2 linked regions of the Caenorhabditis elegans genome follow. The protein of the gene in region 2 interacts with the protein of the main gene of each other region in a pairwise test. Each region holds a gene or a part of one and is shown on either strand. Other genes may lie near its edges.

Evidence for each region.
Region 1: the proteins of flh-2 (region 2) and nhr-111 interact in a two-hybrid assay, tested with the Caenorhabditis elegans proteins (one large-scale study listed by BioGRID).

What each region holds. Positions count from the first base shown.
Region 1 is NC_003283.11:16,123,011-16,126,765, reverse strand, and holds the start of nhr-111 (Nuclear hormone receptor family member nhr-111), read left to right. Parts: upstream 1-1,926; 5' UTR 1,927-1,984; coding exon 1,985-2,036; intron 2,037-2,444; coding exon 2,445-2,555; intron 2,556-2,597; coding exon 2,598-2,768; intron 2,769-2,964; coding exon 2,965-3,104; intron 3,105-3,159; coding exon 3,160-3,249; intron 3,250-3,290; coding exon 3,291-3,462; intron 3,463-3,511; coding exon 3,512-3,711; 3' UTR 3,712-3,755. Other genes in the region: fbxa-143 (F-box domain-containing protein), read left to right, coding at 19-649, 697-903. UniProt on the Caenorhabditis elegans protein: Orphan nuclear receptor.
Region 2 is NC_003281.10:4,950,267-4,954,021, reverse strand, and holds the start of flh-2 (FLYWCH transcription factor 2), read right to left. Parts: upstream 1,899-3,755; 5' UTR 1,890-1,898; coding exon 1,656-1,889; intron 1,530-1,655; coding exon 1,068-1,529; intron 614-1,067; coding exon 338-613; intron 162-337; coding exon 1-161. UniProt on the Caenorhabditis elegans protein: Probable transcription factor. May bind to the promoters of target genes, including micro-RNA genes, in order to repress expression, and acting redundantly with flh-1 and flh-3.

The sequences.
Region 1 (3,755 bases), on a different chromosome or scaffold from region 2:
AAAATCTTCTATTTTCAGATTAATTGTGCGAAAAGTGTCTCGAAAAATGAGAGAAGTTATTGACACTCACAACCCTGGCTTCAAAACTCTAGGATTTTTTGTGAAAAAGAATTACACATCATTGCTCGTGGATAACATGGAAATCAAATATAGCAGCGTGGGACGTGATTGTGTCCTGAAGTATGGACAGAAGACAAAAACAATTATTGGTGCAAAATCTGTTGATGTGGCTTTCAATGACTTTGGAATTATCATGAAGAATCCGGCACTTCGCTTGGAAAAATTTCCGATTCAGCTTTCTGTTGATGTTGAGCAAACTGGGACTTATTTTTCAACTCTTCTTGATGTTTTGAAATCCTCCATGTCTTGCCTACACGTTAAAAAGTTTCATGGGACAGATTTCTCCGAGGAGCAGCTTCTATTAGTGATCCCTTTCCTAAAAGCTGGATATCTTGAAAAAATTGAGCTGCTTTCCAATGAGCCCACAGATCTCGAGAAAATCGCTAAACTTGAGCAATGGAAAAGAGCACAAGTTTTTGATTCGTTCTGGAAGAGTTATAAGGTTTCTGTCGAGGATATGCTCCATTTCAGAGAGTTCTATGTAATTGTACCTTGCTTTTCAAAAGAGGATGCAGTAAAACTGAGAGATGTAAGTTTAAATAAAAAATCGAAAAAAAATCCAAGTATTATTTTCAGTTGCTCACAAAATCAGTGGACTTCGAGAACGGGTGCTTCAAGTTCCCCGAAACCAACATTATCGAAATAGTGAGAGTTTTCATTCTGGACTACGAAGGAGAAGAACGGGCCAAAATTGATTATAACGAGAATGGCACAGATTTTATCTTGGACTTTAGCACAGAACACTTTCGATTGACAAAAAAGAAGATTGTGGACAGTGACTGAAATTAAATTTTAAAAAATATGATTTTTTTTAAAAGTTTTTGTATTGAATAAATTTGAGACAGACCGACGGCTCGAATTTCAGGTCAAAAGTAGAATTTTGCAGTTTGCATAATTTCAGTTTTTGATCACCCCATTCAGTAGGGAGCCATAAAAAATGGAATGATGATTAATATGCTCTTCTGAAAAATTAGACTTGTGTAAACACAGTGACGGATAACGACGTACGATTCGATAAAAAGGAATAGCTGCGGGAAATGGTGAGCACATGTGTAGGCTAGGAAGCAGTAGGCATTTTTTAGATGTGTTTGGTGCGGTTCAGTCAATTTTTTGCTGGGCTTTTGTGCTTCACATTGAGAGCGTTTTGATATTTTTGACTAGAAACTGAATGTGAGAAAATACTTGTTTCCGAGTATACTAGATGCTATACATAGGTTTTACAGTTTTATATCTTTATTGCATTTAACTGAAAATGACCAAAATCTGAAAAGTACGTAATTGGAAAATGTATGTCAAATTTCAGAATTTAATTAAATATACAACTGAATCGAAATCTGAATATTCTGAAATTTTCAATGAAGATCTCAGTTTTTTTTCCACCATCTTTTGCGCTAGGTTAGCTTAAAGACATTTTTCGTTTAAAATGAAAAAGTATTTAAATGAAAAATGACATATATTACGAAAATTTCCGCTTTCAGAAAATGTGATATCATATATTTCCAGCGGACAATTTCCGCATTTCTATGACTCAACAATTTATAGTCCAAATTTTATTTCAATTCGATCATTCCCTAGTGAATGTTTGCTTCTGATTGATTTCAACTTTAAATACACAAGTGATCTGAAGTATGGTATATCTGCAAAAAATTTTAGAGAGATTGCTGCTCAACTTTTGGCACCTTTTCTCTCGTTTCTCTAACTGTCACTTTATCCTTCTTGTACTAAGCCGGCTGCCTCCAACAGGTCAAGTGGGAGGAGTCGTGATTAGAAGTTGAGCAGTAACCAAATTATTTTTATGCTATTATTGTAGATACTGACAGGATATTCTCAACTTACTCAACGAGAGAATATTTAACAAAAAAAGATGAGCAGCCAAAATGCGAAGTCAATCGGTGGCATTTTGGAAACTTCAACAGGTATGCCCCAATTTATGGGATCGAAAAATTTTTTCATGCTTTAACTAGATAATTACTCAACTCACCGAAATGTATAAATGAAAGCATTTGGTAAAATATATCAGAAAATTTTTAGAAGTCGAAAACAAACTTGCAACGTTGTTTTCTAGATTTTGGAATTTTTTTGACATTTTCGAACAGATTGATAGCAATTTTTGTACTATACTTGTTGACATCTCAAAAATGTATTCTATGTTTCCATTATTTAGATCCCAGTTACGTTATAACCTGACAGAGGTTTGCGGGCGGTAAGTAGAAAAACCAGAAGCTTACAAAACTTGACCGCACTTATCAGCTTCTCAATTTACTTAGTTCAAAAGTTTTATGACAGAAGATTTACAATCTTTCACGCATATCTATAACTTTCAGTGCCTCTGGTCATCCAACCGCAGATTGTAAATGACCCCGCGCAAAACAACATAACTCTTCCAATCACGCTTTGTGCAGTTTGTGGGGACACTTCTAACGGAAATCATTACGGTTGGAAAGAAGATTTAGAAACTAGATAACAATGAATTTTAGGTGTGCCAACCTGTTTCGGATGCAGTGGGTTCTTCAGAAGAACCGTTAGAAACAAGTTGGTACATGGATGTTGGAATGGAGACGGAAACTGTGTGATTGATAAAGCGAACCGGAACAGGTGCAAGTCCTGTCGAATTAAAAAGTGCTTCAAGAAGGGGATGAATAAGAATGGTAAGCTGCTTCTCTGAGTTTGGGCTTCAGATCATTAACTTTGTGTTTGCACCATATAGTGCGGTAGGTATTTTTCAGTGGCCGACATTTTTTTGAGTTTCGCGCCGCACCATATTAACAAAGGCCTGAGGCCGGCAGAAGCCTCCTGAAGCCGGCGAAGGCGACACAGTTTCGTCTCTAAATAATTATTTTCCAGCTGTGCAACCCGAGAGAACTTCCCATAGCTACACTGTAGAGTATGTCGAGTTGCCCTCATTCCGAGAGTATTCCAAGGGACTTCTGCCTACTCACTCTGATCGTCTCAGATTCCAACACGAACATGCTCAACATGAAATTGTTAGTTAATCAGGAGACAAACTATCAACCTGAGACACCACAAATTTAATTTCAGGACACAAGCTCCGTGCTAGTTCATCTGAAAAACGCACTCCAGTGGGTGCAACAGTTTTCGCTCTTCGCAGTGCTTTCCGATGTTGAAAAGGTCTAAATGCCAAACATAAAAGTCATTAAAAAAATTTCCAGAGCCAGATCATACTGACCCAGTGGCCACATCTTTTGTGCCTCGCGTTGTTCGAAAACTCCGAAAAAATCTTCATCGATGAAAAATTTGCACAACTGGCTGAGAAATTCAAATCCCTCGAACTTTCGGCGCAGGATTATTTCCTCTTGAAGGGAATTATTATTTTCACGGAAAGTAAGTTTAACTAGAAAAGCTGCTGAGCTTTCAGAAACTAAAATTTCAGCCAAAGATGGCACTGATCTCAAATTCGATCGCCAACTTGATATCTGTATCGGCCTTCTCAATCAGTTGCACCTGGAGTCTTCAAAGTCCAAATCTGGAAGGCTTCTATTTCTCCTCGGCGAGCTTAAATCCTATTCTACTAGACAGCTTGAATCTCTCCTGGATCTTAAAGCTTGTGAGATTGTGATTAGTTTTCTTTAAATTTTGACTATTTTTCTGATGCTGTTATATGCACACATTACCCC
Region 2 (3,755 bases):
AACAAAAGAATTGACCCTTCATCTCCTTGCCATCGAACTCCAATTTCAGTTTTTGGCTTCATCATTTCCATGAGCTTTTTGGTCAATTCGTAAGTGATACGGAATTCTTCTTGTGACATCAATTGAGATGAATCTTCTTCTTCTTTAGGAGTTGTGCGTTGCTGAAAATATTAAGAAATTCCAAAGTTGTTCGAAATTTTCGAATTTGGCCCTGAATTTTAGAAATTCGTATCATTTTTTTTAGTTCATTTCCGTTTTTCTGGCTCAAACCTATAGTTTTGAAAAGTTCCAACCTTATGATGTTTGAACAAAGCATAATTATTCAAGAAAAACAAACCGATTTCAAAGTGATAGGCATCACAGTCGTTGATACTCTTTTCTGTCCAACAACCGGCGGACTTATTCCAGCAGAAGTTGCAGCTGCAGCCGCAGTTGCTGCTGCATTGATTGAGGCGAGAAGCATTAAATTATTGTTTTGTTGAAAGTTTTGAATTGTTTGATTTGTCGTGTCAACTTCCATTGGTTCAGCTTTAATTTGTTGTGGAGCAATTGGTAGAGCTTGTGATACATGTGAGGCACGGCTCAGTTTTCGTTGCATGTAGGATCGGTTGATCTAAAAGATTTCAATTTAAAAAAGATTGGGAAATTTTGGAATTCTTAAATCAAAAAACATGAAATTAGCAGTTACACATAATCCGAATGTTTTATTAACAATAAGTGTTGTGCCTACCTGCCTGCCTACAGGATCTACCGAAAACTAAAAAAAAACTTTTTTATTTTGGCTGGTTTCCCTGTAACCCCCCGCGATGAAAATCCACGCCCACTGCGTCTTTAAACTCCGCCCACTCCGTCTGATTGGTTGGAAAATGAGCGGAGCGAATCGCTGATTGGTCTAACATTTATCATTTTAGAGGAAGTTCAAGCAGGGCGATTAGTAAAAATCGAAATACATATAACGTTTCGGCGTACATACATTTTCGTTCTTTCTCGACTTTTTATTTCTAACTATTTTGAATATTTCAAGTTTTGAATATTCACCATAAATCTTTTAGCTCAAAAAAACTCACACTTTTCACTGGATGACAATAATTTGGATGGAGAGTAGAGAAATCTTGCTCATAAAATGCAAGTTCTTCGGGCGACGGTTTCTCATGATTATGTGGATGTAACTTTCTCACAATTTCTCGTGTATTGATATCTGAATGCATTCTTGCATTACAATCATTCTTTCGTTCACATCTCCAAAATTCTTTAGTTCCACAACACGATTTCTTATCAAATGACATGATATATCCATCTGCATACACTTTTTCTCGCACATTTCTCGGTTTATATTCGGGTTCTGTGGACGATGATGACGTGGATGTTGCGTTTGATTGTCCACTGTTAGATACTGCAGTTGCAGTTGAAGACGGTGATGAGCTGGCAGATGGACGTGTATCTTCAGATATTAACTGAGATGTTTGGGATTGTGGATCAAGAAGTAGAGAGAATGCTTTTAGATTTGTAGTGCCAAGGGCTTGAAGAGTCTGAAAAATAACAGATAGACTTACTCGAACATGAATATCTAAAAAGTCTTTCAAGAGAATCAATTTCACATCTATAACTCAATATATTAATCAAGGAGTCAAAACCACAAAGAGCCCATCTCTCACCTGAATAACATTCGTATAGTCAATATCTGCCAAATGTTTTTGCGAATTGGTTCCATTCACCGCTGCCTGCACAATCGTTGGTTGTTGTAACAGTAATCCGGCGACTATTTGCTTCTGTGCCAACATCGCCAGTTCATTATTATTATTTCTGTTTGGTGTCGTCGACGGTAGTGGAAAGATCGGAGGAACCGCTGTGACACCATCTGTATTTGTGTTCATCATGGTGTCCACCATACAGGCGGTCTGAAAAGAGGAAAATTAATGGAAAATACGATGAATTCAAAACTATCTACACGGTATGTCTCAATTGTTTTAGAACATTTGAATAACAAATCCAAGAGATGCAAGAAGCGTACTAATAGAGGAATTAAGTGACAATTGCGATTAAGGTGAACAAAAAACAAAAGTAAAGGGAATATTAATATTTAGGTGCAATAGAAGAAAAGGAAGTGGTACCATCGGAGAATTGAAAAAATATGATAGGGTTATTCCAAAATTGTGAGATCATGAGTTTTCTCTGGTTTGGATTGGGATCTACAAAACTATTTTACTAGAACTTGTATTTTTTTTAATCAGAGAGCAAACAAGGACATTCCAATTCACCTCTAATTGTAGTGCTTTCAATCTTTCTAAACCTCCTCAACATATGATAAAAAGTTATTTAGTTGAAAATATTTTGCTAGATTGCTTTTTTTCAAAAAGTTCAAAATTCGTAGACTTCTTAAAAATATTTAGATAATGTTCCGATGTTTTCCAAAATTCCAATGAATAGTTTAAGATTGCCCTCTTCGAGTTGTTGTAAACATAAAAAATGGAAGAGAGTGTGCTCTTTTGACAGAGACTGCACTAGTAGTAAACGATGCAGTGAGGGGGAACAAAATGGTCGCGCCAGGCGCCAGCTGGTCGCAGCAGGGGTCCGTCCGCCGGTTTGGAGCCTCTCCCCTCTCCCGGTTTCCATTGGCTCCACATCAGTAGAATCCACTAAATATATGCGGAATGGCGTCGGGAAGCGGCCGCGGCGGAGGAGAGAGGGAGGAGGACGCGGCGACGGACGATTTATTGGCGCCATGCTGTGTTGGTTTAACTCAGTTATTCATCACTTTTGAAAGATACAAATTTAATGAAAAAGTGACAGAGATAATGAAAGAACCCTAGAATTAGATGGTAGATTGGTCAAAAAAGTAAAAACGCAGTCGGAGGCGGCCTATACCTAGCGGGAATTTCGTCTAATGACGCGAATTTTAAGAAATCAAGACAATCTGAAAAAAAACGAACTAAGCCTAAGCCTAGGCCTCATCATGAGCCTGAGCCTGAGCCTGAGCCTGAGCCTGAGCCTGAGCCTGAGCCTAATCCTAAGAGCAATCATAAGCCCAGGCCGGTCTGCAGACCCTTAAACTTGCGAAAGTATTGTACAAGACTTGCGGTTTTTCTTGTTAATTTCATAAACTTATGATTATCTGTAAAGTTAGCTTAACATGAATAATATGTAAAGTCCTGACCGGAAAAAACAATTAAATATTCAATTATTACAATGTGGTTAGATACTAACGAAAACAATCATTTTTTAAGCTTACAAAAAACTATATGAATAACAATATAATTAAATTTTTAGAAAATATAAATATTAAACCAAAAAATACCAACTTGGAATGCCCTTTTCGTGAGCTCAATGACTCCGTTGAAGCGGAGCCAAAAAGCAGAAGGGACCTGACTCCCAGAGCCCACGAGAAGCGCCAGGAGAAGCGCGCGCCGAAAAAAGATGGATAGAGAGAAAAAGAGAAAAAGAATGAAAAAAAGAGAGAAGCAGTCAGATGACCGACGCGGCGCCAGTCAAAATAGAGGCGCTCGTGGTGGAGTGAGAGAAGGACGGGGGAGCGAGAGTAGAAGCAGAAAAAAAAGAAAAGAAGACCACCCAAACAAGCTCTTTCTCTCTTTTTCTTTAGACCAACGTACCTATTATCGTCACCGCTTCTTCTTCTTCTTCTACGCCTCTTTTTTCTCCATATTCCCGTGTCACCATCACCACCTAGTACGGCAAAAAACAAAGGTGATGGATGGGAAAAATGAAAATATTCACTGAATTTAGTGGTTATAGATCTA